Linked DNA regions of Cricetulus griseus. The protein of the gene in region 2 purifies or fractionates together with the protein of the main gene of each other region. This does not show direct contact. Links are inferred from orthologs where the notes say so. Each region holds a gene or a part of one and is shown on either strand. Other genes may lie near its edges.

What was found. Proteins that work in one complex are often made in the same cells at the same time.
Region 1: the proteins of Max (region 2) and Mnt purify together in Homo sapiens (affinity purification with mass spectrometry; 7 studies listed by BioGRID and IntAct, with this or other methods). This does not show direct contact. The link is inferred for Cricetulus griseus from reciprocal best matches to the Homo sapiens genes MAX and MNT.

What each region holds. Positions count from the first base shown.
Region 1 is NC_048600.1:88,289,161-88,293,407, forward strand, and holds the start of Mnt (max-binding protein MNT), read left to right. Parts: upstream 1-1,201; 5' UTR 1,202-2,016; coding exon 2,017-2,089; intron 2,090-4,247. UniProt on the Homo sapiens protein: Binds DNA as a heterodimer with MAX and represses transcription. Binds to the canonical E box sequence 5'-CACGTG-3' and, with higher affinity, to 5'-CACGCG-3'.
Region 2 is NC_048598.1:126,569,285-126,573,043, reverse strand, and holds part of Max (protein max), read right to left. Parts: intron 1,054-3,759; coding exon 946-1,053; intron 1-945. UniProt on the Homo sapiens protein: Transcription regulator. Forms a sequence-specific DNA-binding protein complex with MYC or MAD which recognizes the core sequence 5'-CAC[GA]TG-3'. The MYC:MAX complex is a transcriptional activator, whereas the MAD:MAX complex is a repressor.

The DNA.
Region 1 (4,247 bases), on a different chromosome or scaffold from region 2:
TAAGGTCTCAAAGGTTTGCTTTCGGGGTTGTGCGATGGAGCCCAAGATCCTGAAAGCACTGGTATGTCTCCACTCCCCCTGCACTGGTTAACCAAAGAATTTGAGGCGGCGTTAACAGGTCTGTGCCTAGCACTGGAACAATAGAATTGGGCTGGCTCCACGGTGCTCATAATAGTCCAGTGCTTTTCTATGTTAATGGAGATGGTGTGGCTTCCTCCAAAGAAGCCAAACAGTAAGGTTGGCTTTTCGGTATAGGACATTTCTGCTGTCCTAATCAATAGTATGTAAGTGCTCAGACCTCTCTCTGCACAGTAGTTTGATACTCCTTCACTTTTTGCGGGGCGTGGAGTGCGGGATGAGGTGGTGGTGAGAGAAGTCTGGCCTCAGACCTGACTTCGAAGACTTAGCTGCTCACGGAACAAGAAGCAGTTGGAACCGTCCCTTTTCTTGGGCCTCAGTTTTCTTATCTGCAAAGTGCAAGGATTTGGGCAAGCTGACTTCGAAGATCTTTCTGATGATACCCAGGGACGGTCCTAAGTCCTGGAGCCAGGATAAAGGCTAGCTGGCGAGCCTAGGAGAGAGCGCGGTTCTAGACCAAAGCAGCGACCCCGCCCCGCGCCCAGCGGGCAGCCCGGGTAACGCGCAGCTTCCGCCCTCCACGTTGTTGTTCCTGGTTTAGGCTACGCCTCCTTGGCCTGGGCTGTGGACGTTTTGCCTTTTGACCACTGCTGTCCCGGCACCACAACGAAGTGTGTCCTTTGGAATGGCACATTTTCAGTCTCCGCCCATAGCGGACACGAGTGGACAAAGAATTTAGGGAAAGAGAAGGAATACTTGGTTTTGAATGGGAGGGTGATGTAAGGCAGGGGATGGGCCTGAGCAGGACTGCGGAATTCCCCTGTCGGTGTCTCACCCTACCTTCACCCGGTGGCCCTACTCGCACCCGCTGAAACGACCCTGCAGACACTGGCCCTTTAAACAGAAGGCTGGCTGTGCGGGGTGTCCATGTGGAGCTGCTCCATGCCGTGTTGTCCTGCTCGCCCATTGGCGGACGGCCTGGTGATGTAGTCTAATAGGATGCGAACGCACTGCGGGGGGAGGAACGGAGGCAAAATCCGGAACAGGATCAGCGGTCCCGTCCCTCTGTCAGTACTGAAGCTGCTTGCTGCTGTCGGCTCCGCCCAGGGGCGGATCCCAGGGGAATTGCGACAGACAGGACGGCTGCGGGATTTAGGTCGTGTCTTCGTGGGGCGTGGAGATCTAAGGGTCAGGTCGTAGGTTTCCTTGACTTGTACTACCGCTGTCTCAGCTAACCGAAGCCTCGGATTTCCCGTCCTTTCTCCCAGCAAGACACATCTCGCTGTGGATGCCCCAAACACGCAACCCCCCATTCAACTTGTGGCTGCCCGCGGAGCAGGGAGGGGCAAGGCGGGAAAGCGGAAGCAGCACGGAAGCCCGGTTCCATCTTCTCTTCCCCCACCCAAGCCACGTGTGCGCGCGCGGTAGGCGGGGCTATCCATGGCGCGACCCCGCCCTCAGTGAGACGCCGCGGCCCTACGGGCGGGGGCTCCGGTCCGGGCTTTGGCTGCGGCCCCGGTGTAGTAGCGGGGGCGGCGGCCGGGGGCAGCGCGGCTCCTTCCCTTGTTGTGTGTGTCGGTGCCTCCTCGCCATCTTGTTGCAAAGCCCTTTCTTGTCGGCGGGACTCCCGGGGCTGCGGGGCGGGAGGCATCGGAAGGGAGGAAGAGGAAGAAGGAAGGAAGAAGGCAGTACCGCCTTTTTTTTATTTTTTGCATCAAAATTGTTTCAATTTGCAAATTCCTATTTTGCAAATATTTTGGGAGACATTGATTTTTCTTCCCGTGCTCCCCCGTTCTTTCCTGAGGAGTGCGCTGCGCCGCCCAGCCCTGTCGCCCCCCGGAGGTGATCCCTCCCTCCTGCCGGCCCGCCAGCCTGACCTGTGCTTGGCTCGCGGGCCGCAGCCTCAGCCCCGGCGCGCCCCCGGCTGCTCTCGGCGCGATGAGCATAGAGACGCTACTGGAGGCGGCCCGCTTCCTGGAATGGCAAGCGCAGCAACAACAGAGAGCACGTGGTGAGCGGCTCGGCTGGGCCCCTGGGGCATTGGGCAAAAGGGGAGGCCAGTGACCCCGATCCCCAAACCCACTGGAAATAGCAGGCAGGCCCCTCTACGGCGCGACCTAAAAAGCCGGGCAGAGCACGGGCTCCCCGCAAGATCTGCCGTCTCGGAGGAGTAATGCTAGCAGTGAAAATAATGAATTCATTAACATGCAAAGAGGGACCCAGCTTCTGCGGGTGCCACCCTAGCTGCTGGCAGCCCCGGCACACCTTCAGTGGGGGGCTCCTTAGGTGTGGGCGGGCGGCTCTCGGTACCATTGAGGATGTGTGAACCGGAGGATGGGGACAGGGATGTTGATGTGTGGGGGTGGCAGACCCGCGTGTGCGTGCGTGTGTGCACCAAGATGTGTGATGGGAGCCGGGGGAGAGCGGATGAACGGACGTGTACACGGGTGTTTGTACAGCACACGAGGGGGCGTGTGCGTAACTGGGTGGGGGTGGGGAATACTCTACGCGGAGCAGTTCTCTGGATTCCCTGTCCCTGGCAGGAGGGTGCGGGGAGCGCTCCCGGCAGATCTACGCGCTGCTTGGGGCGGAGGCGGCCTTTGCAGAATGAAATGACATCGCGTGTCTTATGATCTTGGCCAGCCCCGCCTGACCCCGCCTCCCAGAGCTGGGCTGGGTCGCATGTCTAGGTTTGGCTGAAAACTGCGCTGATTGGGTGCATGTGAGTGTCCCGCGGGTCGCTGGGGGCAGCCCCTGGGCCCCCCTGCTTTGCCCTGCTTTAGCCGGTGTGGAATGTGGCGTGTCTGCGCGTTTCAAACCCGCTCTTGGCTGGAATGTTGCGTGTGCCTGCGTCCCAAGCCCGTTGGTTACACCGAGTGGTGACGTAGACAGGTCCCGCCCCCGACCACGTGCACGGGGGACACTCCCGCTGGGGACTGCGCGGCCCGGCCCCTCCTCGCTGCCTCGCGCTTGCCCGGGGGCGGGGCCTGGGCGGGGCTGGCGGGGGGCCTTGAGTCGGGTTGGGCTCCGGCTCTGGTTGCTGGCCATCTCCTAGGGAGAGCCTTTGCCCTGGGTAGGAGGAGCTACGTTCACCTTGGCTCTTGCCGGGTCCTCCTGTTTTTGATTCTGTAGTGAGGGAAACCCTCAGAATCTCAGGGTGACATCTACAGCTAACATCTCCTCACTGACCCACTAACGGCGTACCTAGACCCTTCTGGCAACACCCCGGCCACATTGGAATAAGTCAGCGTGAAAGGGCAAACTTTGGCACGCCCTCAGAGAGGATAGGCGAGGGTTTTATGATCCTAACCCCCACCTCTTTTGGCGGTGGTCTCTAGTCTTCCTGTACTGCTGAAATAGAGAGTGAAGGAAAAGATCTCAGCTTTCCGGACGCTTGCAAGGGCCTGAAGTGATATGTGTGCGGTTCTCAGGGATTCCTGTCCGTCCGTGCCCCCCCCCCCTTCAGGCGGTAACGTTGTGGTGGAGAGAGTTTTTCGCCCTCCTTTCCTTTCTTTCTGCCTATTGTTGCTTCAATGATGAGTCATGCAGGAGGTAGTAGTGTGTGTTGTGTGTGCTCGCGCGCAAAGGCGCGCGCACGCCTGCAGCTGGTTCCGCGGTAGGGCGGGAGTAGTGGTAGCCGGCAAGGGGCGGAGGAGCTGCAGGTCCGAGGGCCTAGTCAGGCCGCCCAGCCTCTCAAGGTCAGGAGTCACTGGAGGCGTGTAAGACCCCAGTGCTTAGCTTTTGCAGAACAGATGGTCTGGGGTATCCACCCTCATGCCCCTCCTCTTTGTGTTTTGGGCCCAGAAGCAGGGTCAAGCAATGGACAGAGTTGGTGGTTAACCAGAATGACAAGTGTGTGGTTTCAGCGGCGGATGTGGGGAGGGGGAGAACTAAAGAGTTTGGAGAGAACGAGTCACCCGCTGCTACCATCAACACAGTGCAGTTCAAGAGTACCAATTATATCCCCATAGAGTCCCAGGCAGTCTGCTAGAGGTGAACAGGATTGACCCTACTGTTGCCTCTAGGGAACTCTTATTTCACATTAAACTTTCTAGGTGTATACAGAGAAAAGGGGAGAAGACCTCTACTGCCTGTGTTCACACCTGCTCAATTAAGCCCAGAGCTGCCCAGTAAGATGGTGGGAGGGGCTGGTGGAATTGGTTCTGCTT
Region 2 (3,759 bases):
ACACACAATAGTAGGCCATTCCACTGCTGAGTTCTTCCCTCACTTAACATTACATCAATAACCCTCAAAAATAATACAAGTATCCTCCCCAGTTTACCATTTATTCTATGGAAGGGCTGAAGAAAGAAGCCTGTTACACAGCGTCAAGGGTGGAACTAATTGTGCAAACAAATTTTTTCTCTATCTTCCAAGGAGTGACCTAACCCATAGGCTTTTGCTCAAAGCTTTTGTTTTTTGAAGACAGAAACAGCTGGCTCCTGCCTCTCCAGGGAAAAGAGCAGTTTCTAAAGGCCTCTAGGGAGAATGGGAATGGTTTCCTTTTACTTCTCTTTCATATGAACAAGTCTCTTAACTCTTGTTCCATGGGTTACAATGCTTTTTACACATCTTGGGAAGAGTGGCTGTCAGGGTTGGAAATCACTGGTGCCCAGGCAGGTTCACAGCCCTGCCTGCAAGTGTTCATTTACACTAAGTACTAATGCTGAACTGAACAAGACCGATTCCCACAGAGGTTTAGGGGATCACTGGCCCGGAAATCTTTAGTGATCACAAACTAATTATGGACCAAGTTATACACTACAGTACATAGGTATATAGTTATGATAATGTCATGAATGACTAATTTATCTGCCTAGCATGACAAGGTCCTGGGTTCAATCCCCAGCACCACCAAAGAAACAAGTAATTAATGACACGTATCTCCAATTTTGCAAGGCCACTTTTTAGGGATGTCTCACAAACACCTCTATTACAAATGATGTTGTTTTTGCTAAAGATAATCAAGAACAACTGAGATATGTGAGAATCTTCCAGAGAATCAAAAACATAAAATGAAATAAATAATAAAAACAGGAGACCGTGCCACCTGATTGCCTTTCTTCACAGAAGGGAGGGCTGTCCTGTTCCAAGCTACTGGTGGGCCAACTGATTTGTCAATAAACTCACCTTTTCTCCTTGGAGTGACGGGACCGAGTCCCGCAAACTGTGAAAGCTGTCTTTGATGTGGTCCCTGCGTTTTCGTTCCAGTGCATTATGATGAGCCCGTTTGTCAGCCTAGGAGAAATGAAGACAGAGCATGTTAGGAATGCCACTCCTTGTCCAGGTGGATGTGGTAAAGCCTGGAAGTGTGTGCAGTCAGCGCTGTCCCTGGCAAGTGGACTGAGAAAATTTGCAGAGTGAGATGGACAGTTAGGAGTCTCCAGAATTAGGCTCTGTTAAAGAGGGAGAAAGGGGTGAGTAAGGCTTGCAACAGGAACATCCAAAGTAGCACGGTGGATCCAGCTCATGCACAAGTAAAACCGAAGTTATTCAAGGAGACAAAGTGTGACTCTCCTGCAAGTGTCCCCAACCTACGTGATGGAGCAGTTGCCAGTCTGTGGTTGCAATGTAACTAAAGAAAGCTCCAGTGGGCTCCTTCCTAAGATATGGTTACTCTACCATGAGACTGGGGGGCGGGGGTGTACTTCTGTCCACTTGAAACCTACCATCCAAGGCTCTGCTACAGGTCACCAACATACCCTCTCATCAGGTCATACAAGAGAGCTCCAAACCTCTGGAAAGCCCAGTTGCATTTGAGGTTATTATGACATAGCTGACAGATGTGCCAACTGCACTTGGGTTTCCTCTCACAAGGCTGAGCCAGAGAGGCACTTTTTGGGTAGCAGACCTTCTGACACATACATGCTCTTGGTAAATTTCCTCATGCACATGCAGCAGGTCTGGCCCATTTGGCACTTTTCTAAATACCCTAAGCAGCCTTTAACCTTTCCTGCTTGGAATTATAAACAGTCTGCTGGTGAGGCTCAGGACTGCCAAACAATCAGGAAGGGGAAGGCAGCAGAGCACCATGCTGGGGAGCACTGCCAAGGAGCTTCATCTCCCTCTACACAGAACACAAGGACTACTTGAGCAAGAACTTCACCACACCTCTACTTCAGGAATTACAGAAATACTCTTGAGCATTTCCCCAGACTAGAGCAGGCTGTGCTGAGCTAGCCTAAAGAGCCTGTCTGCACATTAGAAAGTGACCTGGCTAGTAAGCCCAGACAGAGTACCAGGAATTTTGGAAATGCAACAACAAGCATAAACTTGGTTTGACAATGCCATTTCCACTGAATCCTTGTACTAGAAAAGATGGGCAGACAGAAATCAGACAAGAGCAATGAGAAGAAAAGGATTAAAAATTCTTCTACTATCAAATTCTAAAACCTAAAAGTCTCTGACTCCCCCCAGGGGAAGAGCCTGGAGACCCTGTAGACTGTTTCCCTTCTGATTTCTCAGAAGCCTCACCTACAGTTCTGTTAAATGGGCACACGTTCCCATCACAGTCACCATCTTGAAGATGGGGCACAAGCTGGGAGGATTCCTAAATTATCCTGTCTTAAACCTCAGTTCACTGTAAAGCAAAGGATTTTCTTAACTAGTCATATAGAAAATAGAATGAGGAATCCGAAAGGACAATTAAGCTTGGAAAACCAGGTAACTTGAGGGTAGAGGTGTTATCACTGTATTATAAAATACTAGGGCAAGCAAGATAACCACAGCTGCCCTCTCAGAGCAGTGTAAATTAAGTTAGCTTGAAGGAACTACATGTCAATGCCCAGGTAAACCCGCCTGTCACAATACTCGAGGACAGAAGAGATCTAGGACAACATTTGGCATGCACTAGGCCTCTGGTGTTTACTCTGTAATTTTCAAGATGGTCTATTTACATGCAAACCAATTGCTCAGCTTTGGTCTTCAGCAGCAGCCTAAGATACTCTGTCTACTAAATCACCCTGACTCCTGGCCCTCCTCCCAGCTTAAGAGCTGTGCACAGAAGCAGTGATACCAGCTACCCACAATGCCTCTTGCTGATACAAATAAAAATCCTAATTGTCTGTTTTCTTTCTGGGAGAACCCTGAAAATCTCAGGCAGTTAGAACTAAGATGGACTTGGTTTTCTGAGGGCCTGTGCTGTAAGCAAGGAGCTAAGTTGAACCTAACACCGCTGTCATCCCCAAGATGTACCACCCCTCCCATCTGCTGAGCACTGAAAGGACTCAGACGGACAACAGTCTTTTGGTTGGAGGACTGTAGTGAACTTGGCCATAGACCACGAGCAGAAATCTCGGCTTCTCATCTGGGGAGTCAGCCAAGTTAGAAGTTGGCTCAGCTAGGAAAGGCAGCAGGCCACTGCCTGGTAGAAAGCCTGGGCTGGGGACTGTTGTTCTCCAAGCAGTGGATGGAATTTCTGTGGTGGTTCCAGACCCAATTTAACTAGCAGAACGGTGGAATCTTAGAGCAATCCCTCCTGCATGTCTATCCCTCAGCTGTTATGCCTGAACAGAGACAGCCACAAGGATCTATTTGTTTTTCCTTGTCCCCAAGCCTCATTTGCAAGCACACGTGAAAAACATGCGGAACTCACATGCCTAATTCCAGGCAACTCTGAATGAAGTGGCATTTCTAGTGCTTACAGAGCATAGGAAAACTTGACACACCTTCACACAAGGCTGAGAGTTCTCTCTGGAAAGTATTTCTAAGCTGCATGCGAGGATGGTACCCCCAGCCCTGCATGCTGGGCCAGTGGCTGACTAAAAGATTGCCTTGTTAGCCAAGTTCTCTTGTTGACAAGCTCATTCCCAAAAGGCCAAGATTTCAGAGTTGAGAAAGAAAAACCAGGTGAAGACTCTCAGCGTAAGGTGCTAGAGATCCTCCCGTGAACTCTTTACAGCAGTGCAGCAATTACAGTAGTGGAACAAACAACTCAGATGAGTG